Arabidopsis thaliana: one gene and its partners. The protein of the gene in region 2 interacts with the protein of the main gene of each other region in a pairwise test. Each region holds a gene or a part of one and is shown on either strand. Other genes may lie near its edges.

Region 1 (7,424 bases), about 20 Mb from region 2:
GACGCATTACTATATCAAATGGGAAAATGAATCTGTCTCCAAAGTTTCTTTTGTCTTTCTTCTCATTGTCGTCATGTTCTTCTGGTAGGTTCCATACTACCTTGATGAAGCATCAGGATGGGGTCTTGAAATATCTGAGCTGAAGAAACAACTTGAAGATGCTAGGTCAAAGGGCATCACTGTGAGAGCTTTGGCTGTCATTAACCCTGGAAACCCGACAGGGCAGGTAAATTAATCTTCAAGACTAAAACTCACAAATTTATACCGATGTGAATTTCATAGTTTCGTCTAAATTTGACCTCTGCTTTGTTCTGGTAAAAGGTTCTTTCGGAAGAAAACCAGCGTGACGTTGTTAAGTTCTGCAAGCAAGAGGGTTTAGTTCTTTTAGCAGACGAGGTTTATCAAGAGAATGTCTATGTCCCTGACAAAAAGTTCCATTCCTTCAAGAAAGTAGCCCGCTCTATGGGCTACGGTGAGAAGGATCTTGCCTTAGTCTCTTTCCAATCTGTCTCCAAAGGTTTGATACAAAAACAAATCTCTTAGTCAATTGATAATTCTGATCATTGCGATGGGAAACTAGTCAGAAAACTGAATTCATTATTTCTGACAGGGTACTATGGAGAGTGTGGGAAAAGAGGTGGTTACATGGAGGTTACTGGATTCACTTCTGATGTAAGAGAGCAGATATACAAAATGGCTTCTGTGAATCTTTGTTCCAACATCTCTGGTCAAATTCTTGCTAGCCTCATCATGAGCCCACCCAAGGTATAAAACATCTATATGACTTTATCATCACAATTGATTCAGTTTCCACCTGTTGGCTTGGACTTGCACATCGATAATTGACCTTAATAGCTTTTATTAAATTTGATCAGCCTGGTGACGACTCCTATGAATCATACATAGCAGAGAAGGATGGAATTCTCTCATCTTTGGCAAGACGTGCAAAGGTTAGCCATTTAATAGACAACTAGGAATATTCAAGATTAGAACTTTCTGTTCTTAAAGTGTTTGAACTCTAACCTTGCAGACTCTTGAAGAGGCTCTGAACAAGCTAGAGGGAGTTACATGCAATAGAGCAGAAGGAGCTATGTATCTATTCCCTTGCCTTCACCTTCCACAAAAGGCAATTGCAGCTGCTGAGGCGGAAAAGACAGCACCAGACAATTTCTACTGCAAACGCCTTCTAAAAGCTACTGGAATAGTCGTTGTCCCTGGTTCTGGCTTTAGACAGGTTTGAAAAAAAGAAATAGCTTTTTCTCCAAAGAACCAAAACTAAAACCTCACTTGCTGATATTGATTATGTCTTTGTTCGGTTTGATGTAGGTACCTGGAACATGGCATTTCAGGTGCACTATACTTCCCCAAGAGGATAAGATTCCAGCGATTGTTGATCGTCTAACTGCGTTCCACCAGAGCTTCATGGACGAGTTCCGCGACTAAGCATTCTGTTTTCAAGATCCCTCTATAGATTATATGAGTAATAATAAGAAAAAGGTCCCATGCCGTTTCTTTTTCATCGACTTTGTGTTTACAGAAGCTAAGATGTGAGAGCATTAGTTAGTGCTCTCTTTCTTATTCACTTTTTGTTCTGTTCTCTTTATAGTGAAAAACCGTAATATAAATTGAGAGAGTTTCTTATAAACGGTTAGTCAAAATGTAATCTCATCAAGAAAACACAAGATTGAACCATTGTTGAATTCCATGTTCAAAGTTTCGATTTCACAGAATCATTTTCGTTTGAAAATATAAATAACTGCATAAGATTAAAGATTGTGGAGAAAAGTAGTGATTAGTTGAGAGACAAAACAGCTGTTACCTGCAATTTATTCTTTCTGAAATTGGAGAATTACGCTAATACCTCCAAATTCCCTTAGTAAAATGTAGACAGTAGTCACGTTCTCTATTCACATGGCCACCATCTCTTAAACTTCAAAGCATGCACATGAGTTAGGTAATGTGTACTGTACATATGATAATGTAGATGCTGCTGAGTAATATCATCATCAGTAAATGATAAGGTAAGTGACTCAAAATCTGATTATTATAGCAGCAGTCAAAGTAAGATCACGTAATTAGATCCCAATAACTATTTCTTCAAACACACACAAATCTTGGTCTATAAAGCAACACGCTTTAGAAGTCTCTAGTTATCTAACTCATATCTCTATCCAAGATTGTCTCAGTTACTGTCACAAGAATAAGATACGAGCTTTCAAGAATCCTAACGGATTTACAAGAAGAGAAATCACAATGAAGAGATACTGTTCAGTGGCTCTGGTTCTGTTACTTGTAGCTTTCTTTAGCAGCAAGTATAGTGTAGAGGGCCGTTCTTTGTTAACGATGACACATTCGAGTCAAGCTGCGAGAGATTTGCATGTAAGCAAGGAGATGAAGAAAGAGCCACTTAAGGGAGAAAAAGATAGCTTAAGAAGAATCCCAAGGGGTGGCTCAAACCCTATACAGATTGACAAGGATCAGGAGAAAGCATCAGTTAGAGGAGAAAAAGATAGCTTCCGAAGAGTCCCTACTCCTACTCCTGCTTCTTCATCGCGTCACTTGTCTGCTTCTTCTTCCGATATCTCTGCTTCTGATTCCTCTTCCTCTCTTCCCGTAACTCTTGACTCCATCAATACCAAGGTCGGTTTTTCTTGACTCCACTCTAGAGACTGATGTCTTAAAACGTTTCTTGACTGCTTCTGATTTTTATTTGTGGGGATATAAATGATCACACAGGTTCTCAAATATGAGTATGCTGTCCGTGGAGAAATTATCAACATTGGTCAATGATGAGACTGGATGTGTTGAGGCCTGAGAGAGTCGGCTGGTCAAACACGTGAAAGAGAAAACCTAATTGCATGTTTAGGGATTAAGCTAAGACTTAGTCTATGTTATTATTCTGTGTCAATTTGTGTCGTGCAAATAAATAAGAGTGACTTGGTTTCCTTGTTTTAAGGAACCAGCATTCCAACCTTTCCCGTTTGTTCTTAATTGTAAGAATCACTTGTTTCCTTCGTTATTTGCTTTTTCTTGTACGCCTTACATAAAATAAGAAAACGACCAAGAGAAAATGCAGTTTCAATCTGCCAAAAATACTTCATGTGGTATATAAATATGGTACATGTGCAGGTCAAATCTTAAAAAAAATTGAAAGCTGGTTTAACTGATAGAATACTGTTCTACATTATGTAATATGTATGGTTCAAAGATTAAAAATCCAAACAACTGAATTTCCAAAGTATGAAGTATACAAGAGATGAAACAATCTGATGATCAATAGCATAAAATCATATAATTAAACTTAACAAAACTAAATAAAATATTTTAGAAATTCATTAGAGGAATACTTCACGACTGGACTAATCAATCACCGTTTTGACCTACACGGCATCGATTAACCCCATCCGTCAGATTTTCCAATTTTTGCATATCCATCGTTGGTTTCCATCCCATCACATTGATTGGCCATGCCGGAACCATATCAACCGTCCGATCGTTACCCATCGCCACAATCTTTTTCCCTATATTTTCTCTCAACATACTCAATGCTGCCATGTACTCCTCAAGCTCCTCTTCTGGCACACTCTCCACCGGACGCTCCCACCACGGTCTCCTACTTTCCTCATCCGCCGCGTTATCACCGGAATATCCCTCCAACTTCACCGGACTCTTACGAAGATACTTGTCTATCAATGCGTCTACATGGCCAAATCTGTAGATCCTATCGCATTTAGAGAACGTTATGACGGCGATTTTTGCGCCCGTGAGAACGCTCAATTCAGCGGATTTCTTGAACAGCCCACGACGGCGTTTCGAGAACGTTACTTGTCTCTTGGTCTCTTCCTCGATTTTCTTGATCTCTATCTTCTGTCTTCCTCGTGTCGTTTTAGGGGTTTGTGTTGTTGTCTCCTTTTTTGGTTGTCTAACCAACATGTTAGGGCTTTGAACAGAATCCTTGGGCGTCAAGCAAGTCATCGATGAAGTTTCTCTTTCTCCTTCCATGAACAAATCTTTCATGACTAACCGAGAGGGGAGAGATGAAAATATCATTAGGTTTTTCCTTGGTCGAGGGATTTATAGTCGTTCATGATTATGTAATAATAAAGGAATTAATTTGTCTTACTTTTCTTCGTACGTTTATGGAATGTTGTATTAAATGCACCTCCAATTAATTAATATTTTTCGGAATGATTCAATGAATCAAAGATAGCTTCTCGTAAAAATGTAAGACATGTGTTGTCTTATACAAAAGTTATAGAAATAATATAAAATCCGAGATACTACTTTCCATTTTAGTCGTTTATTGAATAATCGATTGTGAATTTGTGATACACATTATATTTATATAATATATGCATAGTCTACCTAAATATACACGAATCTCTTTTTACTATCACGTACACATATACAAACGTAGCATGTAGAACAATTATGTCATGCCAAGCAGAAGAAAAACATATGAGTATATGACGTCTTCTTGCCAAGAAGTGATCACATATTCAAATTACACATATGATATTTAAGAATTCCAAATATCACGGTAAAATGTCTAAGTGACAAATTGATCACATATTCAAATTAATTAAGTATCTCATTCGTGGCCAAGAAGTGATTTGATGACATCCTTGTTACTTGATTACAATCTATTCCATAGAACAAAAAAAAAAAAAAAAAAAAAAAGAGTTTAAGAACAGAAACTTGGAAAATAATCAATTATTGAACTACCTCTCTAGAAACAACTAAAATCCCGAATATTTATAAACACCAAAGCAGATAAACCACTTCATAACCAATGCAATTGAAAAGGTTCGGGGACAAAGATAAACCTTGAAATCTTACTAGGGAAAACACCAAAGACAATCTCCATTTCAATGGATCAAATTTGTTTTGAAAAATGTATCCAAAAGTCATAAGTTTATATAAATCGACCTTTCAACTTGACAAATCAGTACTATATAGCCAGCGATTAATGTAAAGAATAGGTTTTCTATAACAATCAGTACAGAGATTTTTAAAATAATTAACAGAAAGTGGCAAAGTTTGTGTAGTTTAATCTACAATAATATGTGAAAATATCTCTGTAAATTTAAATATTTTTTAAAAAAACATAAATAAATAAATTCTTTCATACGTAAGGGTAAAAAGGTAAAATGAGTAAATTCCTTCCCCGAATTTCTCTTTGACTCCGGTGGTCAACGTCGAGCCGAGACGGCAAACTTGAATCAATTTTAAAACAGAGCTTCCGACGCTGAAATTGCAAAATCAAAATCTCTCCAATCTTCGAAACTGAGCAGTTGAGAGAGAGAGAGAGATAGATGGCGGCGAAGACGATGAGGAAGGCGGAGGAGCTGGTGGAGAAGGCGATGAAAGGAAACGATGCTTCTCATGACGCCTGGCACGTGTGGAGGGTCCGAGACCTTGCTCTCTCCATTGCTCGCGAGGAAGGTCTCTCTTCCAATTCTGACTCCATGGAAATTGTGAGTTTGAAAAATCCCTAAATCTCAAAGTTCTAGTTCAGCTGAGCCTGATGAACCTTCTTCTAGTTAGTTCTTCTAGTTAGCTATAGCTGTTTATTGTCAAATTTCAGCTCTTTTACTTTAGAGTGAACCATTTCTGTTGATACTTTGCAGGTGGAGCTTGCAGCTCTTCTCCATGATATAGGTACTTGGTTTTATTTTCATTTCTGTTTTAGTAATGTGGTTCTAGTCCACAGGTTGATCATAATTCGTATCTCTTGCCCTCTCTCTTATCAGGTGATTACAAGTACATAAGGTTTGTTTCTCTAAGTTTTCTTTTCTTTTGAACCGCTTGAGTATAGACTAGTAATGTCCCTTCCAACATTCTTGATCACACTTCCAGGAAACAAAAGTGTTTACTTTTCTCATGAAACTCTCTAAGTTCCCTGCTTTTAACTTTGTTTTATCTAAACTGGATGAATAAAGAAACTTGGAAGTGTTTTGTTTGCGAATGCCATTAGGTAAAGCTTGTGAGAATTCCTTGTCAGATTTGCTTACCTTAGGATTGCTAGGCTCTACTAAGTGGAACTTGGTGTGGATATAAACATAAAAACTACTTAACTATGAATGCTGAAGATTGCTTTCCTTCCGCTGATATGTTGCTTCATGGCAAAAATAATTATAACCGGAATTCAGAGACCCTTCGGAAGAGAAACTTGTTGAGAATTTCCTAGATGATGAGGGTATAGAAGAGACCAAGAAGACGAAGATACTAACGATCATCAATGGAATGGGTCAGTTTCCAGCTCCTACTTTTTACTCAACATATCCAATCAACTATAATGTACATGATTTATCACTACAATTAAGTCATTCTGTTGTATATAAATTTGTGAACAGAACAAGTGTATTCTTTCCAGGTTTTAAAGACGAATTAGCAGGAGTAGCACTCTGTGAGTCTCTTCCAGAATTTGGGGTAGTTCAAGATGCTGATCGCCTTGATGCAATTGGCGCCATAGGTAAGAATACGTCTCTTTTCTTTAGTTGCTTTTGATATGTCATTGCCAAATATCTGCTTTGATGTCATGTGAAAATTCTCTATGTTATGGAATTTGTGCTATTAGTTGTTGTTGATCTCTTTCTGTTATAGGAATTGCTCGTTGCTTTACATTTGGTGGAAGCAGGAACAGAGTGCTTCATGATCCTGAGATCAAGCCCCGGACAGAGCTAACCAAAGAGCAGTACATTAAGAGAGAGGAGCAAACTACTATTAATCACTTTCATGAGAAACTCCTCAAGCTAAAGAAGCTGATGAAAACTGAGGTAAGTTTAACCGCAACTCTATTTTGACGCGAAAAATTTGTTTCGATTTGAGATTTAATGTGGATTGAAAACATATCAGGCGGGTAAAAGGAGGGCAGAGAAAAGGCACAAGTTCATGGAAGAGTATCTTAAGGAGTTCTATGAAGAGTGGGATGGGTCAACTTGAAAAGTTAAAAATGATAAATGAAGCAGAAAAGCAGAGGATTTGTTCAACCGGATTTTATTGAGTAAGCAGTACCTACCAAACCAATATGTGGTTTAGGTTTTAAACAGAGTGGCAACTCTCTCTCTCTTTTTATTTTTTGTTTAAGGCAACTCTATTTAAATAGCTCGTAATAACTATACATTTATAAATGTTAAAATTGCTTTGTTTTTAAAAAAAGAAAACTCTATTATTTTGTCAATGCCAATGATTGTGGAAGAAATCAAGCAAGGATTACACGATAGAGCCAATCGTTTTCTTTTCATAATTTTTTTTTTTACGCCAAAGTCAGTTGTTGTCTTTTTCGTAAAGGGTTTTATAAAGTCCAGTGGCTTTTTGTTTGTCAACTGGTTTAAATATTGACTTGCTATTTTCGTTTTTAAGTCTTCTTTAAATTTTATTAGTGGAAGATGATAAGATGTCTTCTGGATGTTTTAGTGGAT
Region 2 (8,034 bases):
CGATGAAATCAATCCAGAATGTGGCGAACCGGTTTACCATTGTGGATGAGAACCGGAATCTGAACCGGTTCGTAGAATCTTGTTCGTTCTCTTCTTCTCGTATAAACAATTGATGAAAACTGAAATACATTTTAGAAGCGGATCGGAGTCGTTGATCACGCTGGAGTCTATTCGGGAACCTACGATGAGGATTACGTCGCTTCTGTTGGTTGCAGCGCTGAAGGAATTTGTAGAGAAAATCAATTGCGGAAGAGGAAGGAGAGAAGCAGCAACGATGAGGATGATGATAAACACTATGGGCTTTTAATGTGTAATGTATGCTTTTAGGCCCAAAATAACCCAATAATAGACACTAGGATTTATTTATCAAAGTGTAACATTATGGGCTTTTATGTGTAATGTGTGCCGTAATGTATTTTTTCTTATTTGCGATGAGAGTACATCATATTTGAATGACAAATTGATTTCGATGCGATTTGAGTGTGGTTAGAAAACCAAATTACCAAATTAGTCTAGTTATATTATTTTTTGTATTTTCAATTTACATAATAATATAAAACAGTACTTGAATTTAATTTATAATATAAAACATTACTTGAATATTTGAAAAGCAATACATAAATATCACAGAGAAATTAATTAGTAAAATTAGAATTAATTTTTGTGTTTAAAATGAAAGAAACTAATAATGGTAATTAATTAATATTGTTTAAATTAATAAGAAAGAAAATTAGTCTCATTGAAGGACTTTGCTCAGCCTCTTTGCTTAAACTTATTCTCCTTATGCTTCTTCAATTTTTGGTACGGATTATCAGCTTGCTTATTCCAACAATTTATTCACAATTTCATGCAAATATCTATTGCCGATCGAATACTGAAACTTTGGAATGTTGTCGGTAAAAATTATAACCTCTCTAGACCAGGTTGAAAAAAATGTTGCAAAAAAATGTATAATCTAGGTGAAAACTTTAAAGAAGGCTAAAATTTCTTGCTCCTTTACGTGACAACTCATATACGTAGTTCTGTATTTGAATGTAATGAATGAGGCCACAACATCTATAGTGTTGATTGAAGGTACGGTTTTACATTTTTTGTTGGTTGTGTTGGTGATGATTTGAGGAGAAAAAGGTTATAAAATTTCCCAAAATAGAGCAATGGGGCTATGATAATAGACAGGTCATTATATTTAGGGAATTCGTTTCCCATATTTGAGAGATTGTTACTATTTGGTTAGCTTTCACATCATGAGGTTTTTGTTGACTCTAAGAACAGTGAGTCTTCTTCGTGTACATGTCCACATTGTTTTTAAAAAAATCCTCCTGTTTCAGTCTCTTGTTCATTTATGCGATCATCACTTGTTTTCCTGTTTTAATGTCCAATCCACCATGTTGTATAGTTTTTTCGGTCGGTTCGAAATCATCCTAAACCAAAAGCAGGTTGAATCCAATCAAATGAAACGTACTAAACTCGATTTTAGCGAAAGCTAGTTGAAAACTCTTAACTTTAAGTATAAAAACTTACAAGACACTTTTGTAACCTATGGAATTTGGGAACTCTAAACTAGTCTATGAAGTTTGTAGAATAATTCCATAGTTTTGTTTTTTAAAATCTCCGTATTATATTTTGATGAGGCTTTGTGCCTAGTAAGACCCAAAGCTAGTCTATTAAACTAGCTATTGCCTATGTTGGCTATGTCACTATGTGCTCCGAAATGATCGATGTATAATTGAGCAATGTGCGTGTGTTTAGGTATAGTAAAATGAGGAGCAGAGCATGCACGTACGTGTTGTTGAATTGATGGAACATGGTACGCTATAAAATCAGTTCGTGGTGTCGCATATTTGAAAATGAACCACAGTAGACTCGCAAAACATTTCTCTGTTGATATGAATTGGATCCTATGCATTAATTTCTGAATCTGTTTCCTTTCCCGACATTATATATTGTATATGTTCCACATTTAAAACTGAAAATTCAATTCTAATAATTCTATCCCCTACAGTTATTGAAACAGACGTCACCAAAAAAATCAACACCTTTTTTTAATGGCTTTTTATAAACGAACCCCGAAAACTTGTAAAAATAAAATAAAAAATACTTGTTAACTTAAATAAGTAGATAACATATACTTTTTTTTCTTTTCAAATGATAACAAAATAAAAGTGAAGGTAATTGGGTTGGGTGTAGATATCCTTAATTAACCTGCTAATGGTTAGTGTTACTTTGTTAGTGCGTATCTTTGAAAAAGTAACTATCCATTCTCACATCTACTGTATGACACAAATTTAGTGTAAATTAAGAAAGTATATATTCAAAGTTATTGACCAAGAAAAAAGGACCATAGGAAATGTTGAGTTAATCTCTGCAGATGGACCGTACAAGTCTGCAGCAAATACTCTGAATCTGAGATAATGTATTCCTCTGCCAATTGATATCTTTTTGGTCAAATAAATACATCTACGTTATGCTTAAAGTCTCACCAAACCTAGGTATTTCCTTTGTATATATGGGATAATATATGTTTCGTATATGCATTTATAGCTGCACAATTAATTAATAATAAAAAAAGAAATACTTTACATTCTTTTTTAAAATTGCATTATGGTGTTATGAATATTCATATTGCGACAGAAATTCTAACGATAATAACTTAATAAGTCTAGCCGATCCCTTAAAAAAATGATTTATAACAGCGAATTCTGCGACATATGGTTGGATAGTTAATTTTAAAATCAGTAAATGGTAGAATTGATATGGCAACAAGTAGTCAAGACTATATGAAAAACGGACTCGTTTGGGAAGATCATTAACATTCACATTATGAAGAGACCGGCTATGTACGTAGAAAGAGGGTTTCATATAAACCATCAAAATGTCGAGAGTGAGAGATAAATGGGGATTGGTGAAAAGACATGTGAAGTGTGCGTGAGAGATATAATTGTGGTTAGAAAATAAAAGACGCAAGAGTCAAATCAAATGTATGCTTTGAGCCTTTTTGGCTGTTATAGTTGGGACTACTTCAGATGTTTAGTTTCATCCTCATTACTATTTCCAATTTTCGGTAGCAACCAACAACAACAACAAAATCATTAATTATTTTTTTAAAAAAAAAAGATTCTGTAAATTGTAGGTTTCTTTGTAAAGGAAAAACAAATAAACAACCAATTTGTGATGGTTTAGTGGTTAATTCAAATTGGTTGTGAGATAGAATTCAAAACTTTGATAATGCATGAGCAGTGACCACTATGAATGTATTAAATGACAAGAATACCTAACGCTTAATTCATATGTATCAAGCGGAAAATAGTTAAAACTTGGGGTGAAATCGCCTTGTTACTTGAACAAAAAAGAAAAAGAAGAAGATCATATTCATAGTTCGAAATTCAAACAAGATAATACCAAGATTTTGTTTGGCAAGCAATCGTAGAATAATATGATGTTTTGTTTGGGGCAACAAAGAACAAAAGCAGTTGAACTAAAAAAAAAGATGTTTACGGATGTTTAACAACTTTTCATCTCTCTCCACTTTTCCAAACACATCTCCACTGCTCACAACGTAGGAAACGTGTTCCCTGTCCTTTACTCTTTCTCTGTCCTAGCATTTTTATTTATTTCTTTCATCTCTATACGTTTCCACATTCCTAGTTTTTTCAAAATTAAGTAGTGACAATTATTGTGAAAATGTTATTGGATTTTATTGTAAATGTAGATTATAGCTATTTGGTTATAACTTAAACCAGAGATAATAATACTATTTATACAATAATCCTAAATTAAAATATCTAGAATGTAAATTAAACTGAGTGTTGAAAACAATTTACAATGCATAAATACAAATGTATAGAAATATATATCAGCTTTCAAATCAGTCCGTGACAGTCCATGAACCTTTTAACAGTTGTATAACAGCATTTTGTCAGAAAACAAGGTCACAACATATACATACACGCACATAGCTTAGAGCCATACGTAATAATATCACACAAATATCAATTATGATGTTCAAAGTCATATTTAATATTTGCTCTTCTCCTCCAATGAGGATGGAGATGGTGCATGCTGACGTGGCGTCTCTCTCCATAACACCTTGCTTCCCGTCTTCTTTGTCTTCGTCCTCACATCATCACTATAACCAACAACAACATTGTATCATGTCGGAAGATCAACACCATTCGATGGATCAGACCACTTCATCGGACTACTTCTCTTTAAATATCGACAATGCTCAACATCTCCGTAGCTACTACACAAGTCATAGAGAAGAAGACATGAACCCTAATCTAAGTGATTACAGTAATTGCAACAAGAAAGACACAACAGTCTATAGAAGCTGTGGACACTCGTCAAAAGCTTCGGTGTCTAGAGGACATTGGAGACCAGCTGAAGATACTAAGCTCAAAGAACTAGTCGCCGTCTACGGTCCACAAAACTGGAACCTCATAGCTGAGAAGCTCCAAGGAAGATCCGGTACGTTAATTCTGTCACTTGATTAAGCTTTTACAAGATTCACGTTCTTGAGATTTTGGGTGTTAATGTTGAGCAGGGAAAAGCTGTAGGCTTCGATGGTTTAACCAACTAGACCCAAGGATAAATAGAAGAGCCTTCACTGAGGAAGAAGAAGAGAGGCTAATGCAAGCTCATAGGCTTTATGGTAACAAATGGGCGATGATAGCGAGGCTTTTCCCTGGTAGGACTGATAATTCTGTGAAGAACCATTGGCATGTTATAATGGCTCGCAAGTTTAGGGAACAATCTTCTTCTTACCGTAGGAGGAAGACGATGGTTTCTCTTAAGCCACTCATTAACCCTAATCCTCACATTTTCAATGATTTTGACCCTACCCGGTTAGCTTTGACCCACCTTGCTAGTAGTGACCATAAGCAGCTTATGTTACCAGTTCCTTGCTTCCCAGGTTTGAGTTTTTGTGTTCTCTTTTCTTTCAGTTTTTAATTCCATATCATTTCTTAATTTTCTTCCATTTTTTGTACTATTTAGGTTATGATCATGAAAATGAGAGTCCATTAATGGTGGATATGTTCGAAACCCAAATGATGGTTGGCGATTACATTGCATGGACACAAGAGGCAACTACATTCGATTTCTTAAACCAAACCGGGAAGAGTGAGATATTTGAAAGAATCAATGAGGAGAAGAAACCACCATTTTTCGATTTTCTTGGGTTGGGGACGGTGTGATCATCATCGATCATGAACAAGACTGGCTTGAGTTAGTTAACAAAAGTTATGAGATGATTTGAGTCCTTGTCGATGTAGTTATGTTGCGTTAATAATTGTAGATTAAATGTTGTTGTCCTTAGTCACATGCAACATTCCTTACCCCGTGTTAATTAGCACGTACATATATACCACTCGTTGGTTAAAATCAATGCTTTCATTTATGTAGATGCCAAATTGTCTCACCTTTACCAAAATTGATTTGAAGTGTAAAACATTTGTACCACTTTATAGTTCTAACTAACTCTTATCTTATATGAAAATGTCAGATTCCGTCATTAATGTCCAAAAATTGTATGGAGTGAGAGTAACAACATGCTTCGTATATGAAGAGGAAGGTGACATATGTTAAAACAGGGACGATGATGTGGATATAAGAAACGACAAAGAACGATAGAGAAGTCAAATTAAAAGGAATAATGTACTACATTGTATTTATTTGGAGTATGCAGAAGTTTAATAACAACATGCGATATTGATGAGGTTGCAAGATTCAGGCACAGATTCTGCAACAGAAAGTCCAAACATCCACTCTTTAATATTCTCACACCCATTGCATTTTTTTATTCTCTCCAAAGCAAAAACATATTTTCATTTCATTGCCCCTTACTTATGCGTCTCATCGACCTCATGTCACCCACATGGCCCCTTCTCCTAGTTATTGTTCATTGTAATAATCATTTGATTTGTATCATGATACTATTTGTATACGTCATTGTAGTTTTAGTCCAGCTTAACACATTTCTATGACTAAATCGAAATAATTGATTGATTTATGAAATTAAGATTAAATTTATGTAATACCGTTTTTCACTAAACACTTCCCGTTGTTAATTGTTTTTTTTTAAGGTTCCATAAGATCCACAAGAAAAGGATAAAACGGTAAGGAGTGTGCAATGTGCACCACTTAAAATCTATTGCTATTCCAGGCTTAGGCCCATTCTCGGACCCAATTTCAGTTTTGTTTGGAAGTGTTTCAACTTTTTCTTTTTTTATGTTAACCGATGTGATTCAATTTCTCGAGCGAGAGAGTACCAATATAGAATGAATATCTCAATTTTGTTTCTAATTTATTAGATGTTCTTAAAACGATAAGTGAAAAGCAATAACGTATATATTGGTTGATTAAAATTTAAATCAAAACGTCGAAAACAGATAAGTGTTGAAGTAAATATCAAACCAAAACCTCTATCAAAGGAACATTCATGTTAATGTAGTTCCTTATGTAATCCAATAATTAAATATTCATGACTTTTTCTTTTTCTTTTATTATTCAAAAAGAAAACAATTTTTTCTGTTTGTTTCCTTAAAAAAGCTGAACTACTTTACGAGAACATATACGTATGGTCCAGGTGAAAGCTGAGTGGCCTCCTACAAAGTCTACCTAACTTTATTCCTTTCTTTCACATTTAAGAAATCTATTTCATAACTTTAGTCTTTAGTCGTATGATAATAATGATTCCAGTTAATAAATCATTTGCAATTTTTATGATGACTAGACCTTGGTAACGAATTTTCCAAAACCCTTCTATATGTTTGAGCTACCGATGTTGCGTATGGTTTTAAGTATTTGCTCTCCAAGTACATTTCTATTCTTTATTCTTTCTCTCCACTCGAGCACCTCAAACTTTTGTGTTCCTTCGGTATCCATTGTTAAAAATGAGAACTCACCAACAACTTAGAACAGTCTTCCGGTTTGGGAAAAGAACATGCGTAGCCTCCCTGCTTATTCTTTAAACGTAACTGGATTTTAAGCTTTTTGTGCAGCTAAAAGAACCAGTCTTTATGGACCTTTAATTTTCACATATTTGTAGAGCTCAAAAACAAATAAAACATTTATTTACTTTTTGTGGAAGAATAGTATATGAGATCAACTATATAACATGAACTTGGGTTGCCTCTCAAAATGTGATATGCTATAATTCTATTAAATTATTAGACAATCGAAAGATTTAAATGCTGACAGTTTAACAAGTAATATTTTTGTTGTTTTAAAGTTTTGTAATCTGCATTTAAGTCTCATTTGAAAGGACATTATATTTACGTTTCATGATCATGGAAGACTCGAAAGTATTAACAAAGATTGGTGTCAAATCTCAAATGATTATGATCCAAATCTTGGAATTACATGGTTATAAAAATAGGTATAGAGCAACAAGCTAAGTATCCATACTAATAAGTAGAAACATTACAACATATCAAGTAATAATCAAAATGAGTAGTATAAAAGATTAGTGAAGGTGCAAAAAGAATGGAAAAAGACATTGGAAAAAAAAGAATAATTGCTTTTTAGAAAAAGTGACTTTTATGCTCTTCTTTTAGCTTTTTTTCAGTGCCAGTGGTTGGATTCTTCTCTTTAATCCAAATATGAAAGTGAAAGATGCTCTGCTTTCTTTGGTTTCATATTCCTCTTTTCTTATCTCTTATCTTAGATTAGTTTGACCCATTTACACTAAGTACCAAAATCGTACAAGCTAATAGTCTGGTACCTCATGCTCATCTGACATGTATTTACCAGAGAGGACAATTTGGAGTTGAGATAATATTTATCTCATGATTCATGGGCAAAAACGTAATTGTAAGTTCAAGATAGATCACGTAGATATTAATCTAAAGGTTTATATATGTTGCAACTTCATCACACAATGGAGAGAAATATCTACAGCTCCAAAAATATCTCTGTTTGTGTACAACAGTAAATACTATATCTACTCTTAGTTCCAAACAACAAAACTATCTACACAGCTTTGCCTTCTTCCACAAGGTAACAATTAGCCAAACTCAAATCTCTCAGTTCATG
Region 3 (7,833 bases), on a different chromosome or scaffold from region 2:
TGTTGAAACTTCAGCTAGATGAGCTCAATTTGAAGTTACGGAGAGCAGATGTGAGTGTTTCTCGTGCCAAAGAAGAGCTTGCTTTTTACCGAGCATCTTCTGTAAAGAACCCGCATTCAAATTTTGACAAGACGCATCAGTTAAGTACCAAACTGAAGGAAACCGAAGAGGATAGAATGCAGCTTGCTCAGGAGCTATTAAGTCTCTGCACCAGTATCCTAAAGGTAAGAGGAACAGTCATAGTTTTTCACTGTAAATAAACTCCAAAACGTACGTCAACATAATAGAATTCTAAACATCTTTTTGTGGACTGAAATTTCCCTCAGGCAGCAGGTGTAACAGGAGAAGACTTTACAGACATAAACCCTGAAGTTGCTGAAGAGGCACTTGAACAGCTCAAGACAAAACTTGGTTTACTTGAAAGTGAAGTACACCACTTTAGGTTAAAGGTAAGAAGATATAGTTCCATTTGAAGCTTCAATCCCTGTAGCTTATCCCAAAATAAGTATTAAGAGATGATTGAAAAAAATCATGATGCAGGGAAAAGCAAAGAGCAGAAGAAGTAGGAATCCTGAGAGAAAGATGCCTTCAATGCCTTCTCCTCGAAGATCATGGAGTCAGAGTCCAAGAAGTATGTCTCAGGTTCCTTTTTTCTCTTCTTTAGACAGGTGAAAGAACGGTATGTTTGTATGAGAACAATCAGTCAGTGTATATTTATGAATGTTTCATGTAACTGTTATGCGTGATTAGTAAATAATTTTTATAAACAATTCAACGAAACATATATTACGAGCACTTCTTCTTCTTCTTCTTCAATTACTAACAAGAGTACAAATCAAAAGCCAGCATAACAAAAGGAAACATTCAGAAACAGAGCACAAATTCAACACGATGATGCAACCACGCAGGTCCTCCTTTAAACTATCGGAGAGGCTGATAGTTTAAAGAATGGAGTCTTGATTTTGAAACATTGTTGATTTGGGAACATCATGCCAATCCATCAACAATTTTTTTACTGCTAAGCTAATAAAAACTGTGGTGCTTAATTTCTTTTATTCGTTTTTTTCCCCTTAGATTATACACTTTGCTTAGGGATTTTTCCTTAGGAAAAAAAATAAATTCAATATAATAATCGAGTGTTTAAGTTAGATATAGTTATTAACATGTTTTTATCCAACAACGAAAAATCAAAACGGTGGCGCTATGATTTAGGATCGGGAGATCTTCTTGTTGGCGAAATAAAACAAATATTTACATTTTGATTTTGATTTTCTCTACAAAACAAATTAAATATATATATTTTGATTTTCTCTTCAAAATTTTATCAAACAAATTTCTCTACAAAGACAAATGTTAACCTTATGAATATACAAACAAAAGTAGGGTTTGTGTTTGGTGAAAAAGAGAGAGTAGAGAGACGATAGATCTCGTCCTTCAAGATGGTGCATTCGTATAGTTTAGAATTGTTCCCAATTCGTCATCCTCGTCCTCGTCCAAGATTTTACTCACCCTACACGAGGTATTATATATGTCTAGTAGTATTTTCATTTTTAAAATTTCTTTTATTGTGTTTTTGATTATTAATTATCCTTCCAATAATATTCTAGAACACTTGCTTCTCCTCCAAGCCACCCTTCACATTCAATCCCAAGGAGGAAGAATTGTTTTGAATTTCTCGAAGAAGTCTTCAAACTCGAATCAGTTTCAGAACAAATATCCAGAATTGACGAACGAATTCAGGAACTCGAAGTGAAGCAGATGAAAAGAGATGCAGGTAAAAATTTATATATTTTTTGATATCTCTATTTGATCAATTCTTTCTATTGCATGAGAATCATGTCTATTTTTTTATTTTATTTTGCAGTCATTGCCAATGTGTCTAGGATGATAACGGAGTTACAAATGAGAACCATGGAGGAGCGTAGGAATATCGACGAGGATGAGAGGATTACCACCGAGGTACTTAGGAATATGGAAGCGATGAGAAAATAAGTCTAACAACTGATTTTACATCAATAGACTGTTTCTTATACTAGCTACATTGGTATATATATATTAATGATTACTTTTGCTATTTTATATAGGTCATTATTAATGGAGACTCAACTCCTGAACAAGATGTGAGGATCAAACAAGGGTTTAAACCGGATTTATGTTTTTTTTACTTGATCAAGTTTTATTTAAGAAAAAAAATAGTGATTTGCATTAATTTTATCATATGCAATTTTTCAGTTATGAAAAAATAAAGAAAGATTCGTTTAGAGTAATTCAGATTATTAGAGACAAAAAGCACAAAAGCTCAAAAAAGACAAAGTTGGACGGAAAAATCTATATATGATTAAAGCAACGAAAAACAAAGAAAAAATCAAACACACACATTGTGTAATTTTTTGTGTATATGGAAGAATAAAGTGAGGCGATCGGAATGAACATCATTGATCATGCTTTCTCAAATTCTTCTCTGATCCTAAAACCAATAAAATGTTGTGTTAACTTATAAATATCATCCATCAGTTTTTACATTGTAGTGTATCGTCTCTAGTAGAGTTCAGCAGTGATCATGATCATCACTAATAGTTATGGCGTTCAATTTTCGTTTTCTCTAAATGTTTTTAAGAATTATCGAAGGAAACAAATATATACATTAAATGCTTCTTTAAAATATATAAACTCTGTTTAGAATTTCAGTATTGAAATCTAAATTATAGTTTGTTTAGATTTTACTAAAGATCCTAGTACTCCAATAAATACAATCTTTGTATTTTTAAATAACACTGATATTATTGATCTTATCCCTATCATTAAATTCAACGACAAAAGTAAACTTTGTTGCAAAAGAGAAGAAGACTATAATAGAGAGACGACAGATCTCGTTCTCAAGATGGTGCACTCGCATTACACATTTGAAATCCGACAGGCCCGTTCACATTTATTCTTAATTCGTCATCCTCGTCCAGGATACTTTAAGAAGAGGTAATTTCTAGGTTTTTAATGTGTTTTTTCCACTCTGATTTAAAATCCTTTCTTCTCTCCCAAGCTTCCCTTTGCTTTCAATCCCCAGGAGCTGGAAGGATTGTAATGAGTTCGAGCAAGAAATCTCAAAAATCGAATCATTTCCGGAAATAATATCCAGAATTGATGAATATGTTGCACAACTTAAGGAGGAGGTGGCCTATCTAAAGATAGGTATTTATTCAGAGTATCTATTTGATCATTCTTTCTATTTTATTCTCCTTTTTTATCTTTATGTGTTTCATATTCGTGTAGCCAAGGCGATTGTCGAAGAGAGGGCTAGGATTCGCTCCATAAAAAGAGCGGAGGCGCGTAAGGTTTTAGAAAAGTAAGTTTAACAATTGACGACTTTTTAGAGAAATTTTTAATGATATTGACGACTTAGATGATTAATTATGATCATTATCAACCGTTTAATGATTACTTTTACTTTAATAGTTTAAGGCAAACTCTACTCGGGGAGATGAGGAAGAGGAAGGCTGACGAGGATCTATGAGAACTGATGATCACATAAACTTCATGCTACATGCAATAAACGCGGTTAATTGGGTTTTGTTTTTTCTTCAACATCAACCCGACCTAGCTAGGGTATTATCTATATATATGGGACATCTTATCATCTGATCTGCATGTACCTATTTTTATTATTATAAATGCTTCATATATTAAGAAGAAAAGTTGTAGGCTTGTAGCAACCGATTCATAGTGGAAAATCCTTTTTTTTTTTTTTATGAAAATCAGATCGGCCGCAAAAACAACTTTCACCATGCACGAAGCTAGAAACTGCATTGATGTACCGTGTACGCTGTTTTTAATATAAAATAATTGCAGTTTTATTAGTTAGGCTACAAATATGAAATCAGGAGAAATATACCAATTAATGTACGTCCTAATTGCTTGGTATGTTACATAACCTTAAGTTGTATAATATTTATTAATTTATTTTATACTGGAGTTGATAGCTTTAAAAGTTGAGAGCAAAGTAACTTGAGACCATTTTAGAGTTAGCAAAGTAATGGAGAAAATAAGAAAAATCACACGCATGCAGCATGATGTATAATTATTGGAAACATGTATTTCCAAGAAAGTAATCAGTTCTCTGTACGCCTGAATTCGATTTTCATAAAGCTCACTTCCTTGGATTGCTAGAGCAAACATTTATATTGATATCTGCGTTAACATCATAACATGTGGGTTTTTAGTAATTCTCAACAGTATGGGTATTTTTGCTCTCTCTAGAGAGGGTAAATTTGTGATTCCATCTGCAAATTATTCCTCCTATATATATATAGAACGTGATGAATCAAATTTCTTAAGTTGCAAGCCATGACTAATCTTGATGAGTTTCTTGAAGAGCTAAGTTCTATTGAATCACATTCTCAGAAAATCGTGAAGATAGATGAGCATTTAAAAAAGTTGGATGAAGAGACGAAAGAAGATGAAGATGAAGATGCGGCGAAGATAATTCAAGATCGGAGTACCGCGAGAGAAGCAGGTTAATTTCTTCTCCTTCACCTTGTAATTTAAAGTTGTTCCTCTCTCATTCTCAAATCTTGTTGGGTCTTGGAAACGCAGAAATTGCTCTACTTATGGATCTCCGTCAGAACTTTCTTCCACCACCATCGATGTCATCCTCCTCTCTTCAACCACCGTCATCGTCAACTCTCGCACCATCGTCATCATCCTCTCTTCAACCACCCGCACCGTTGATAGACTTCTTTCGGTCATCAGTGTCATACTCTCATCAACCACCGTCATCTTCAACTCTCGCAACATCATCGTCACCGTCTCTTCAACCACCGTCGATGTCATCCTCCTCTCTTCAACCACCCGCATCTTTGAGGGAATTCTTTACGTCGTCAGTGTCATACTCTCATCAGCCATCTTCATCTTCAACTCTCGCAACATCTTCGTTCTTTCCGTCGTCAATGCCATACTCTGTTCGACCTCCCGATTCGTCTGATCGACCATCTTTGAGGGAATTCTTTCCGTCGTCACCATCATCCTCTATTCAGCCACCCGAATCATCATCATCTAAGCGAGCACGGCTTAGTAACATCTTTCCGTCACCTTTATCCTCCTCTCCGTCACCGTTTGTTAACCCGTTTCTCCGTCCGCAGGCCCAAGAACCAACAATACCAAATTTCATAAACCCAATACCACAGATCTCTCCAGGCCTACCTGCTCTATTCCCAAACCCTAACCCTAATCCTAACCCTAACCCAATCCCAAACCCAATCCGAAACCCAGACTTGGTGTGGACAAATAGGCTTCAACTAGTGTTTGATGACGCAGTTGTCAGACTTGGGGGATTATTCAGTATGCAACTTTATAATTTTTTTATTTATTTTGTTTATTCTTTCAACTCCTAACTATTTTCCTAATTTTTTTTTTTTTTTTCAGGTGCAACACCCAAAGCCATAAACGAACTAATTTCTGAAGAGGGTCTCACTGGTGACCAGATCCGTAGCCACTTACAAGTCTTGCGGGATCGTCAAAAGGCTATTGCAGACAAATTAGCCTTGGAGTGAAGAAAATATTGAAGATGAGAGATAGGATTAAATAGAAAGAGTGATAGTATAGAACGTTTCTTTTTCTTTTGTTGTTAATCTTGCATATTACAAACAATTACTATATCATAATAGAATTTATGTTAATGTTGGAGTTATTAAAAAAAAAAAAGTTAACCATAATAACATTCTTACTGTACGCATGAGTGATCATTTATCACAATCTATTAGAGCAACCCCAATGGGTGGGATGATGACAGTCCCTAAAAAACCAAAAAATAATAATATTTTAATTTTTTAACATAGTTTGACAACTAAAAAACCTACACATGTACATTTAATCTTCAGGTCCCTTATATAAGGGTTTTTGGAGCCCTTCTCTCCTGTGTCCCTTCCATTTTAATTATTTTTTTTTTTTTTATATTGTAAGGGACCTTAAGAGAGACCACCATTGCTGGTGCAGGCTGTAGAAAAATTTGTTTAGCTTCTCCTTCTTTTCTTAATTTTGACAGATAAGTCTCAGCCTCTCTCCCCCCATAAGGGTATGTCTTGACATTTAGATTCGTTGAATCAAAAGTTTTTCATGTTTGTTCATATTGTGGTCTAATCTTCTTAGGCAGATATGACCTCAGGGAAGAAAGATTATTATGAGTTGCTCAAAACTACAATCTTTAAATAAATATTTGGGTGATGAAACTTCTAGTTCTTTTTTTTTTTTGGTCTAAAATGAAACTATTACTTCTAGAAGAGAAATATCCAACTCTTTTTTTTATTCCAAGCAAATGATAACCAAAAATGCAATAAAGGTGTTAATTTTTATCATAAATATATTCTAACTATGGTCGTAACTTGTAATGGAACACCTAGGCATTTTTTATTTTTTTGGTGCACACCTAATTCGAGGAAAAAGGTTGAAGTAATCATAATTACATAAGTTTCTAACTATGGTCGTAATCGAACACATCTAAGGCGTAGTAATAATTAAGGAAAAAGGTTGAAGTAGCAAAACGACGAGGTTACGATTTGTAAATTCCATAAATGCCCTCTCTCATTTTCAACCTCAAAGAATCGTTTTTGGCTTTCATCAGCCGCTTCGTATTTTTGTTTTCTTCAGTAACGGAAAAAATGGTTTCCGACTTGGACCTCGTGACCCGACTCCGTGAGATTCTCGGTAGCTCCGACCTGAACACGGCGACTCCGGCAAGCGTCCGTCGTCAGTTGGAGGCGGATTTCGGTGTGGACTTGACAGATAAAAAAGCGTATATTAGGGATCAAATCGATACTTTTCTCGAGAGCAATGGCGCGGTAGAAGACAAACCTGAGAGTCCCAAGGTAGAAGAATACATTAATGCCGACGAAATCAAGGCGGAAATTGAAGGAGGCGATGGAGAAGACCTCGACGGAGATGGAAGTGGAAGTGAGGAAGAGAAGGAAGAACGGTAATTACTCTTGTAATGATTGTGCTTTATGTGAAATTGGATTTTTGAAATTCAAATATCGATGAATCAGTGATCATACACACACACAAAGATTGAGTATTTATAGGAATCTTTAGCATTTTTCAATCGAACCAATCAAAATGCTTCCGATGCATTTCTAATCAAAGACCACTTGTTTAATGACTTAAGTTTAAGGGATTATTGTTCATTGATGTGTTAGGCCAGTAAAGGCCAAGAAGCGAGGTGGTGGCATTACCAAAGTATCTCAGTTATCTCCACAACTTGAGAAAGTTGTTGGAGCATCTCAGTTAGGTCGAACCGAGGTAATTTTCATCTTCTTCCGACAACTGTTCTGCGAAGCGGAATTGTACTTTAGTCTTTTGTGTTGTGTATATTTATCAGGTTGTGAAGAAAATGTGGGCATATATCCGAGAGAAGGATTTGCAAGACCCAAAGGATAGGAGGAAGATAGTGTGTGACGAGTTGTTGCATTCCTTGTTCCGTGTTAAGACCATTAATATGTTTCAAATGAACAAGGCATTAACCAAGCATATTTGGCCCTTAGGTGATGGAGATGGTAATTCTTCCTTGTCATTATACAATTCAGAAAACTTTCACATGAGACTGCATGATATCTGTATATATATCCCTAGTCTTCCTGTTCAGTCAGTCATTGATCCTAAATAGCTAGATCAGCTAAATATCCCTAGTCTTCCTGTTCAGTCAGTCATTGTATCATGTGTCTGAAATCAAGTACCCCACTGTAGAGAGTGATCATGTGTAATTGTGTGGAAATAGTGTTCATCAACTGTTAATAGTGTTGAATATTGATATTTTCCCTCAGCGTTTGAGTTGTTAGGATGCTTATATAT
Region 4 (9,533 bases), 1.0 Mb from region 2:
AAGCATCGAAAGCTCTTCCCTACCTTAGCATCAGAGACAAACAAAACGTTAGACTGCTCGAACGGAGTCTGCGACCCGATTTGCCCTTACAATTGCTATCCAGAACCCGATTACTACACCATATCACCACAGCTACCTCCATGGTCATCGTCACCACAACCATCTCCATGTCCATCTCCATCTATCTCAGCCGTTTATCTACCATCTCAAGACTCTTCATCTTCCTTAGACGCCATATCCATCATCACCATAACCGGTGCGGTCTTAGCCATCCTTTTAACCGGATTCTTTCTTGTAGCGAAATTCTTTTCAGACAGCGTAAACCGTGTCAACCAAGGAACATATCAATCCGATAACGAAGACAACGACACGGTAATGGAGGAAGAGTTTCAAGATAGGGAACAAGTGGATCACCCAATATGGTTAATAAGAACAACAGGTCTACAACAATCGATCATTAACTCGATTACAATCTGTAATTACAAGAGAGGAGATGGTTTAATCGAGAGAACAGATTGTCCAGTTTGTTTAAACGAGTTTGAAGAAGATGAGAGTCTTAGGTTATTGCCTAAATGTAACCACGCTTTTCACATCTCTTGTATTGATACTTGGCTTAGTTCTCACACCAATTGTCCTCTGTGTCGTGCTGGTATTGCGATGATTAGTGTCACCACTCCACGGTATTCTGGTCCGGTTGAAGTAACTCCCGGAGGATCAGGTTCACATTTGGAGAACGATGGAGTTGATGAAGAAGATCATGGAGAGATTGAAAACAGAGTTGATTCTGATTTTAAAGAGAGTGATGATTCAGACATAAGAATTGAGATTTATAGATTTGATTCAGACGGTGATGGATCTGAAACAGAGACGAAAGAGAGAGTTAGGGTTTTGAAGGAGTGTATGGATCCAAATGGAGGAGATTCAGTAAACTCTCTCTCGCATACGAAAACCCATGTAGAAAGTGTAGATTTTCCGGGGAAATCATGCGAGAATCAGAGTGAGGAATTCACTAGACATAACGGAGAAGATGAAGCAAGCTGCTCTGAGGAAAACGGTGGTGGCAGCAACCAATTACGGAGAAGTTGTGATTCTGGTGAATTGAACGGCGAAACAACCGGAGATGAAGGGAAAAGTCAGTCAGACATTTCGTCGAGTACGTTGAAGACAAATGGAAGCTCCTCCTCTGTTTCATGTTTCAACAAAAACAAGAGTTCGGTTTTTCCGCTGTAGTAAAGCGTCTCTACGAAAAGCATTTTTTCGAATGTAAAAAGAGTAATGCACAAGTGTTCAATTATACCTAGCATGACTAATTCAAAAATCGGAAGACTTCATAGTTCATAGTTCATTCAAGCATGGTTAACTTAAAGATTCACATATAGTCCGTTTAATTAAAAGTCAAAATATACTTTTAAACCATTTCTTGCAAAAAAAAAAAAAAATTAAAGAAAGAAAAGGAGTTATGTATAAATAAAAAAGGAGTTATGGTAAATGAGAATATTATGTAGCAACAGAGGAAAATGTGGGCCCATAACTTTAATACAGAAAAGCCCAAATCCATAAATGGCCTAACATTTTAACCCAATCGGATACTTTAAACGGCGTCGTTTATCTATGAGGTTTAAAAACCTCCTATAAGGTATGGCGGCGAAAGTGATATATAGACATGAAAAAGCAATGGTGTTCAAATTTGTTTTTCACTTTTATGTGAAAACATTTATTCCATTAAGATCATATAAACTAGCGGTGGAGAAATATAAATATCCACTTCAATCACATCTAAAACCAAAAATTTACTAAAAGCAAAGTTAAGGAAAAGTTGATGATTCTAAGTCTCAATCATGAAAAAGATGCTAAAATCTAACAGTTAGCTATATAATAGAGGTCCTTGTTATTGATAAAAATAGAGGGAATAAAATTTTGATTTTGGTGTAATCACATCGATAGGCTTTACTTTTTACTTTTTCTGGCTTTAACCCTAAAAGTGAAAAAAAAACAGAGATTCGAAAGATCTTTGATATGTCTTCATGATAAGACAATCATCATCGTCTTCTTGCATGAATCCCATGTACTGCTGATTCAGTACGCCTCCAAGTTTTCAAGAAAAAAAAGCTCTACCTTTATTCAATCATTTTCTTAACTTCTTCTGTCTCTTAATTTGTTCGTATCTTTCTCGGATTATATAATCCCATATGTAAATATGGTGTGAATTTGGACTGTAAGTGGTGTTTTCATATGTTGATGCAAAACGATAATTTGAGACAACTTTGCTGACAATAATTGTTTTTGGATATAAGAGAAAAGAGGTCAATAATTCATCTACCAAGCTTTTCCAAATATGTAATATACCCCAAAATTTGACATTTAGTACTCGCATGGCTCCGTTGGTATATATTTATATAAAACTCCCTTTGTTTGTTTCGTAAATACATTTTCTCGAACAATATCAGTTTGAAAACTCAAGTGAGGCAGAAAATGTCAAAGTAGAATTATCGTTAAAGCGAATTCAACCCATTCGTTCAGTAAACAATCATGAGAAAGGTTGAAGTCATTTTTTCATGAGAAAGCATATACATATCACATTCATTCTTTTAATATATTCTCAGAATAATAATTATGAATAAGCTAAAGAGAATTTTCAATGTGTTTCTTTGGAAAGGGATCTCCCTTTTGCGAATGTGCAAATATAGTTTTAAACTATGTTTGCTTACCCAAAAACTAGTGGTGGATTGAGTCTGAAAAGTCTCTCCGATTAGAACTTAAGTGTTCTCCGACCCCAGACTAGATTATTATTTACGATCGTATATGTGGCCCTTTGCGGGTGTCTTAGATGTCATGGGTGTTCAAAACATCTGATTCAGACCATGAGAGTCTCATCAAACTTTTTTCTTAATTAGCGCATATTTAGACATTACTTCACAAAATATACTATTCTAACTAATTCCTTCTTAAACGAACCGTGCAAAGCCGGTTATTCACGATATACCGAGTCTTTTAGGGACGCCTTCACATGACTCATACCGGTATATTTATATAAGTGTGGTTGAATTTTTTTCAGCTATCTCATAACCAGTCAAATTGTTCAAGCCTTTTTTTTATGTGTGGGAAAATTCAATTGCTCAAGCTTATAATTACTATTCTCGTATAGAGCTCTTAAAAGCTAGTTCCTCTTTTGTGATCAGGTCTAAAAGGTCAATCACACAAAAACTCCAATATATAATGCATTAGAATTAACGTTAACAAAAAGAAAAAGGAAATTTATATTATTTAATATATGAAAAAGAGAGAGCAAAAGATCACACATGAAAAATTAGAGCTCCTCTAAATGTGCCATAACTAAAATTCAACAATACTAGCTAAAGGATGACTCTTCTTCGATCCTCCTTAGGATTTGATTCACAGCTGCTGCAATATCTTCTACTGTATTCAATTGGCTCCCTTCTTCAACCTGAATAAACCCATTATTTTAATATTTTCTTTTAAGTTACATGAAAAAGATTGATATATAGTCATTGAAAAGGTAAAAAGATGATTAAAGAAAATGTTTATATTTCGAGGAAGAAGCTTATGAATGTGTCCTGAAACAAGTGGCGTCATTTCGTTCTGCCGTGCACAGTGCATCCACAGTGTTGTGACCACCAAACATGCCCAGTACACATATATATATACACACATTCACACATGTGTAGGCATATGTCATCTTTTTGGTCCCTGATTCTTACAAGAATCAATATTATGATAGTACTCAAAATTTTGTCTTTTTTAATAAATAAGAAATGATGATTTTGACCCCCCAATAATTGAGGCCAGCCCTAACCAAGTAAAAAAGAACGAGAAAAAAGGAACGATTTTTATTTTTGTTCTTGGAAAACCTTTTTTGGCCCAGACAAATAATTCACAACATGTACTAATAAGAGACACATTAAATGCACAAAACATTTGTGATTGGAAAAACAATCAATGAATAATCATTGAACCAAAACCAACAATGGGAGTAATGATTAGTCACCCATTAATTATTAGATACCAATTTAATTTGAATTTGCAAATTCAACCCACTAACCCTAAACAACGGTATTATATAACATGATCACTCTAATCTGGTTAGGAAAAAAAAAACAAAAAATGGTGAAAAAGAGAGAAAAAAATGTACCTTGACGCTGATGGAATAGAGGACGGAGTCGTCTCGAGTTGTGACGTTTAGATGGAGAAGAGTGAGCCTTAGGCTCTGTATCGATGAGACCAGTTTAAGAAGCTGTCTCGGTCTCTTTTTCGCAAGTATTTTCAGACTCGCATGGCTCTCTACCATCGTTACCTCTATCTCCGCCATCCCCTCAGCCGCCGCCGCAGAGGTAGGCCGGTTCGAGTACTGAGGAAATGCAAAGAAATCCGAGAATGGTCCCGACGAACTAGCCGAGGTTGTTTTGGTCTGGTCGTGGCCGGCTCCGGTGTCTTCTGTGGCGGTCTTAACCGGAGGTTCCATTGATTGTAAATGATGCTCAAGCTCCTTTAAGTAGTTAATGGCTCCGCCTACTATCGATGCTTGATCTCCCTTTAACCACCACCAACCTTATGTTAGTCTAGCACATAGAAATTGCAAAAGGTTTTGCAAAAACAATCAAACATGTCTATATTTCGTACCTTAATTTTTTAAAAAATATATTATGTCACCATCTCATTATAAATCTATAATATGTATAGTCCTTTTTGGGTGCAATGATGTTCAAGACTTTATTTATGCTCCCACAATTCCACTAACAAAATTTTCATTTAGAGACTACATGATCTAATAAAATTATGAAAAAAAGAAATAACGACTTTCGTTTAGTTTTTATTTTTTGTCAATATATATAACGGCTTTCATTCATCTATCATCATTCTCAAATTTATATTTCAAAACATATAAACATACATGCATATGACATATCTATGTATAGCCTATGCATGTCCTAATTAGCTGAAAGCCTAGAACATAGGCTTTGCTTTTTTTTTTTTTTTTTGACACGTCAAGAAATACAGCTAAAGGACTGAATATTTCACGCGCTCACACTCACATATACATATAACTGTTGTATGTAGAGACTAACCCTTTGAGCATAATAAGGTGGCATGAGAGACCGGAGAACGGCGAGGTACTCGTTCATCTGTTTCCGGCGATTTCTTTCAACGGCGATGTGAGTCATCCTCTGGTTCTCGATCTCTTCTTTGTTCTTGCTACTCCTCGTCCTCCTCCTTTTCCTCCTCCCTCCTCCCGCCGCCACATCCGACGGTGGAGGCTGGCTCTCGGTGTCGACGGCAGATCCATAAGGAAGGTCTCGTGGCCATTGGAGATCCTCTTCGTTGTAATTATAATCATCACTATAATCTCCGGTTCTACCGTTGTAATTATTACTCGCAAAACCATGTCCTTGTCCTTGCCCTAGCTTAATGTTGTTCTTAGTATCTTGTGGATCTTGATCTTCTTCTTCTTGAAAGTATAAGTCGTAAAACGGAAAATCTTTGCAAGAGATGTAGGAGAACGGATCTTGCGGGTAAACTACAGCCTCCAAGGCCATAATTAGCTAGAAAATTGCTTGAAATATTAAAATTACACTTGAATATGAAAAGGTTTCCAGCGAGAGAGAAAAAGAGAGGAAAAAAAAAGAGGACAGAAAGTGTTTCTCTTTCTCTTTTTGTCTCGAGAGGGAGACAAGGCAAAAGGTAAAGACACTCTAGGGAAATTAAACTTGTAATTATCCCTCTACAAGAAAGAAAAAAAATCAACAGAAATTTGTTCTCAAAGAACTAAGTAAACTTGAAGAAGAAAAGACAAGAGAAGTACTCAAAAAAAGGTCAAACAAAGTTGTGGTTTGATCTATGGAATAGAGGAGAAGCTTGTGAGGTTATAAAGCTGATTTAACAATAGAAGGTCCGAAGAAAATCGAAACCAACTGAGTTCAGAAAAAGTAGAGATATAGAGAGAGAGAGATCGTGTATGTTTGGTTTTGCACGTGAGATTGTAGACCGGTCCACAAAACCAAAGAAAAGATTCTGTGTGTTTTTGCAGGCTTTGGGGTTCGTCTTGTTACACTCATGTTCGAAGAGAGAGAAATTATAACATGTTGAAATATCAACTTTATACGTTGCCATGAATTTAATATTTTTTTGCCGTATACCATGTGAGTCAAAATGTAATCTAATGAAAGCTATATCCCAAAATTTAGAGTGTTTGCGGTGATAATTATGTCGTCTATCCTCTTTTAGGTATTCAAACAATAATTTGCTTCTATTGTGCGTGTGTAACGCGTATTGATGGACAGGAAGAGGAAAGAGAGCTTGACATCAAAGTTTTTTTTTGTTTCTATGTATCAGCCGACGTCAAAGCTTTATAAATTCGAAATCTAAAGGCTTATTTATACGAGTATTTTTTCCCCGAACCATGCGGAGACAATGACCGCTGATTTATTCTTTTTATATGAAATCATATCGTTTATCACATAACCCTACCCGTAATGGAATAACCGTAAAAAAACATCAAGACCATGCATGGGTCCGAAAGCATATTGCCTTTATATAGATACAACTCTTGGAAATCACGATTTGTAGAGTAAAAAATAAATTTTAAATCAATAAATGTGCTTAATTAATTTTACAATCTATCAACTAGTTTTTGATTAGTAAATTTTGGCTTTTAAAGTAATAGAATCCTGATGACAACTTAGAGTAAATATTATAATTTCGTAGCAGTAACATTCGTTCAATAGTTTAAATTTTATATAGGAGAGAAATGTTGAGAGACAAAAAAAAAAGGAGAGAAATGTTGAGAAAATCATCTTCATCAATCATCATACATGATAAATGTTAATATATTAAATAAATAAATAAAAACAGAACAAAAATGTATTTTGAAGGAAATGAAATTTACTGTTAATGAATTTTCTAAAATAAACTTTTAGTTTGGGGCAAAGTGAATAATACTATAACTTGTTGGTCGTGCGATTGAATGCAATTACTCGGTGGTAAACTATTTTATACCGCCGAAAAATGGTTAATATATATATATATATATATATATATTGTCACAAAATTTATAGTAAAAAAAGAAATAATAGTAACAACAATATCATATAATTTGAAAATATGTGTTCTTTTTTTAAAACAAGATAATATTAGAAAACATTTAAAATATTAAGATTAGAAGACATTTAAAATATGTAAATTTGTCTTAAAAATATATTTTCAACTGTCTGGTTCCCATGTCTTTGATACTTAAAAACAACTGTTTAAAAAAAAAAAAAAAAAAAACTTACGTGGATATTGATTAAGAAACAGAAATTGAGAGATAAAAATTACTCGACTATGCAAGTTTCGAATGTTCGTAAAATGATGATGATCAAACCATATTCAACTCAAAAACCTGATCTTCCAATCTTGTACAAAAAGAATCCCTGATCTTCCAACTGATGATGGGAATTAAACACTCACATTTGCATTCAATCCACTTAGACGGACAAATTTGATCATAGAAAAAATTCACGGATAAAAATAAGAATAACATTTCGGCGTGTGGGGTAATGCTTTATTAATGTAATCATGTCATGCTTAAAACAAAGTATTCTTGATGTTGACATATGTAAGAATAAGAGACGATATCCCAACTTAATTTGTATATTAACTAGGTGGCATCTTTCCATTAGTCTAATTAATAATTATCGAACTTTTATGCGGTATAGAAGATGTGAGAATTAGATGGCTATGACACGACTTAGGGTTGCTGTGTAACAAAGTTGTTTGGTCGCTTTAACCAATAGAGGGAAGCAACAACTTAAATATGTGATGCAAAACGAAATCTAAGCGAAAAATCATTTGATCGAAACTCGAAAGAATCCCACTATTTAGAAACACGGTGGAAAATAAATCTAAGGCTATGATACTCTTGTCTCCTTTAAGTCCGTGTACCTCTAGTTTTTATTTGCGACATAAAAAGATACCATAATTTCAAAACCATCCAAGTAGTACTATAGTAGGCAAAAATAATATATAGTCCTAGGCTCCTAGCTAAATAATTTAGATATTTTTTTCAAGGATCGCCGAAGTTATAATTGATCAAACATAGAGATTGTTACAAGAATTAGTGCAAAGTTAGTTTGAAAACAAAAAGAATGTCAATGATTCAACAATAATAAAGAAGAAACATGTTACAATAGTATTTTCAGATAATTGGATCTCCTTCTAAAAATAGATCAATTAATCAAATATATATGGCTAAAGAAAAAAAATAATGATTTTATCAGTCCAATGTTTCAAAAACAATAACATATGTACTATAAAGATAGTCTTCCTTAATATTACTTAAACAATGTTATGAGAAAATAGTATAAGAATTATTTTCCCCTCATCTTCTTTTTCTAAATATCCAACTATTCAATATCGTTATATTAGTTACCATAAGTTAATTTAATAATTATAAAAATAATTTAGTAAATACAAATTCAATTACTAATTTAATACATTTTTAAATTTATGTTATAAGTTTATGAAGAGAAACATTTAGTTAGTTAAAAAAAATATTTTAGCATTTTTTTTAATGATTTTCAAGATACCAATTTGGTCGAAATTACACTATTTGATATGAAGAATATGCATTGAGCGGATTTAAAGTTTGGTATATCATAACTACACTAACACAATATACTACTTAATTATACTACATGTCTTGATTAATATCTGAGTAACACAACTGGTAAAATTTTGTCCCATCAAACTCATTATTATGCAACCACTAAGTATATTTTGAATATGAACTATTCTTAAGATTGTTTTCGCGACAATTCGATCTTTATCAAGTATCAACTTTATGCCATCTAATATAATGATCACTCCCGACATAATATTTTTATGCATAAACGGTTTACTGTTAACAACAGATGCACAGAGTTATCCACGTAAACGATCCAACAATGTAAGATCTAAAAGGGCCCTATGCGAAATCATGACACAATGACAATAAACCACCTAAAACCATTACATATATTCCATTTGTTTCTAAAATATTGATTTTCCATACATTTTTTAAATTATTTAATGCTAATAAATTACAAAATTTAAACAATAATCATTGAAAATATTTAAATTTATAAACTATTATAGGTCCAAATAAAATAGTATTTTTTGGTGAGAAAATAATGTATTTTAAATTAGTTTACATATATAGTGAGAGATTTGTCTTCCTACATGCATTGAATATTTCAATCGATTTATATACTGTATTATAAATTTTATTGTTTTAAATTTATTTTCAAAAATTTAATTAATTTGTGATGAATTTAACTAGATATAAGTATTATTAATTGATCAAGACATGACATAATTGTTTTTTGTGATGTCTTTGTGTCACAATCAGTTAAAGTAATTGTCGTTTTAGTATTTTCTTATACATTAAAAGTTAAAATATCTATTAACTATATATTGTTGGATTAAGTATCCTAAAACGACAAAAGCTTAGATCAATTTTTTCTTATATTATTTTCAACCAAACTTAAACTATTTTTTCTTTT

Evidence for each region.
Region 1: the proteins of MYB105 (region 2) and AT1G17310 interact in a two-hybrid assay, tested with the Arabidopsis thaliana proteins (one large-scale study listed by BioGRID).
Region 3: the proteins of MYB105 (region 2) and AT3G19070 interact in a two-hybrid assay, tested with the Arabidopsis thaliana proteins (one large-scale study listed by BioGRID).
Region 4: the proteins of MYB105 (region 2) and AT1G72210 interact in a two-hybrid assay, tested with the Arabidopsis thaliana proteins (one large-scale study listed by BioGRID).

Annotation. Positions count from the first base shown.
Region 1 is NC_003070.9:5,924,651-5,932,074, forward strand, and holds AT1G17310 (MADS-box transcription factor family protein), read right to left. Parts: upstream 4,184-7,424; 5' UTR 4,051-4,183; coding exon 3,364-4,050; 3' UTR 3,275-3,363; downstream 1-3,274. Other genes in the region: AlaAT1 (alanine aminotransferas), read left to right, coding at 89-226, 322-517, 611-765, 876-950, 1,031-1,234, 1,327-1,443; AT1G17300 (uncharacterized protein), read left to right, coding at 2,254-2,640, 2,737-2,790; AT1G17330 (Metal-dependent phosphohydrolase), read left to right, coding at 5,316-5,477, 5,631-5,661, 5,754-5,772, 6,153-6,250, 6,377-6,475, 6,607-6,779, 6,859-6,945.
Region 2 is NC_003070.9:26,153,712-26,161,745, forward strand, and holds MYB105 (myb domain protein 105), read left to right. Parts: upstream 1-3,990; 5' UTR 3,991-3,995; coding exon 3,996-4,467; intron 4,468-4,543; coding exon 4,544-4,912; intron 4,913-4,995; coding exon 4,996-5,195; 3' UTR 5,196-5,383; downstream 5,384-8,034. UniProt on the Arabidopsis thaliana protein: Probable transcription factor that involved in boundary specification, meristem initiation and maintenance, and organ patterning. Functions in both lateral organ separation and axillary meristem formation.
Region 3 is NC_003074.8:6,589,435-6,597,267, forward strand, and holds AT3G19070 (Homeodomain-like superfamily protein), read left to right. Parts: upstream 1-4,338; coding exon 4,339-4,507; intron 4,508-4,587; coding exon 4,588-5,331; intron 5,332-5,415; coding exon 5,416-5,543; downstream 5,544-7,833. Other genes in the region: POK2 (phragmoplast orienting kinesin 2), read left to right, coding at 1-224, 327-449, 541-672; AT3G19055 (uncharacterized protein), read left to right, coding at 2,882-2,973, 3,062-3,186, 3,268-3,340, 3,457-3,508; AT3G19080 (SWIB complex BAF60b domain-containing protein), read left to right, coding at 6,648-6,961, 7,182-7,284, 7,364-7,538.
Region 4 is NC_003070.9:27,176,085-27,185,617, reverse strand, and holds AT1G72210 (basic helix-loop-helix (bHLH) DNA-binding superfamily protein), read right to left. Parts: upstream 6,161-9,533; 5' UTR 5,553-6,160; coding exon 5,085-5,552; intron 4,550-5,084; coding exon 4,151-4,549; coding exon of another isoform or gene 4,088-4,150; exon of another isoform or gene 3,446-4,087; coding exon 3,350-3,445; 3' UTR 3,162-3,349; downstream 1-3,161. Other genes in the region: AT1G72220 (RING/U-box superfamily protein), read left to right, coding at 1-1,230.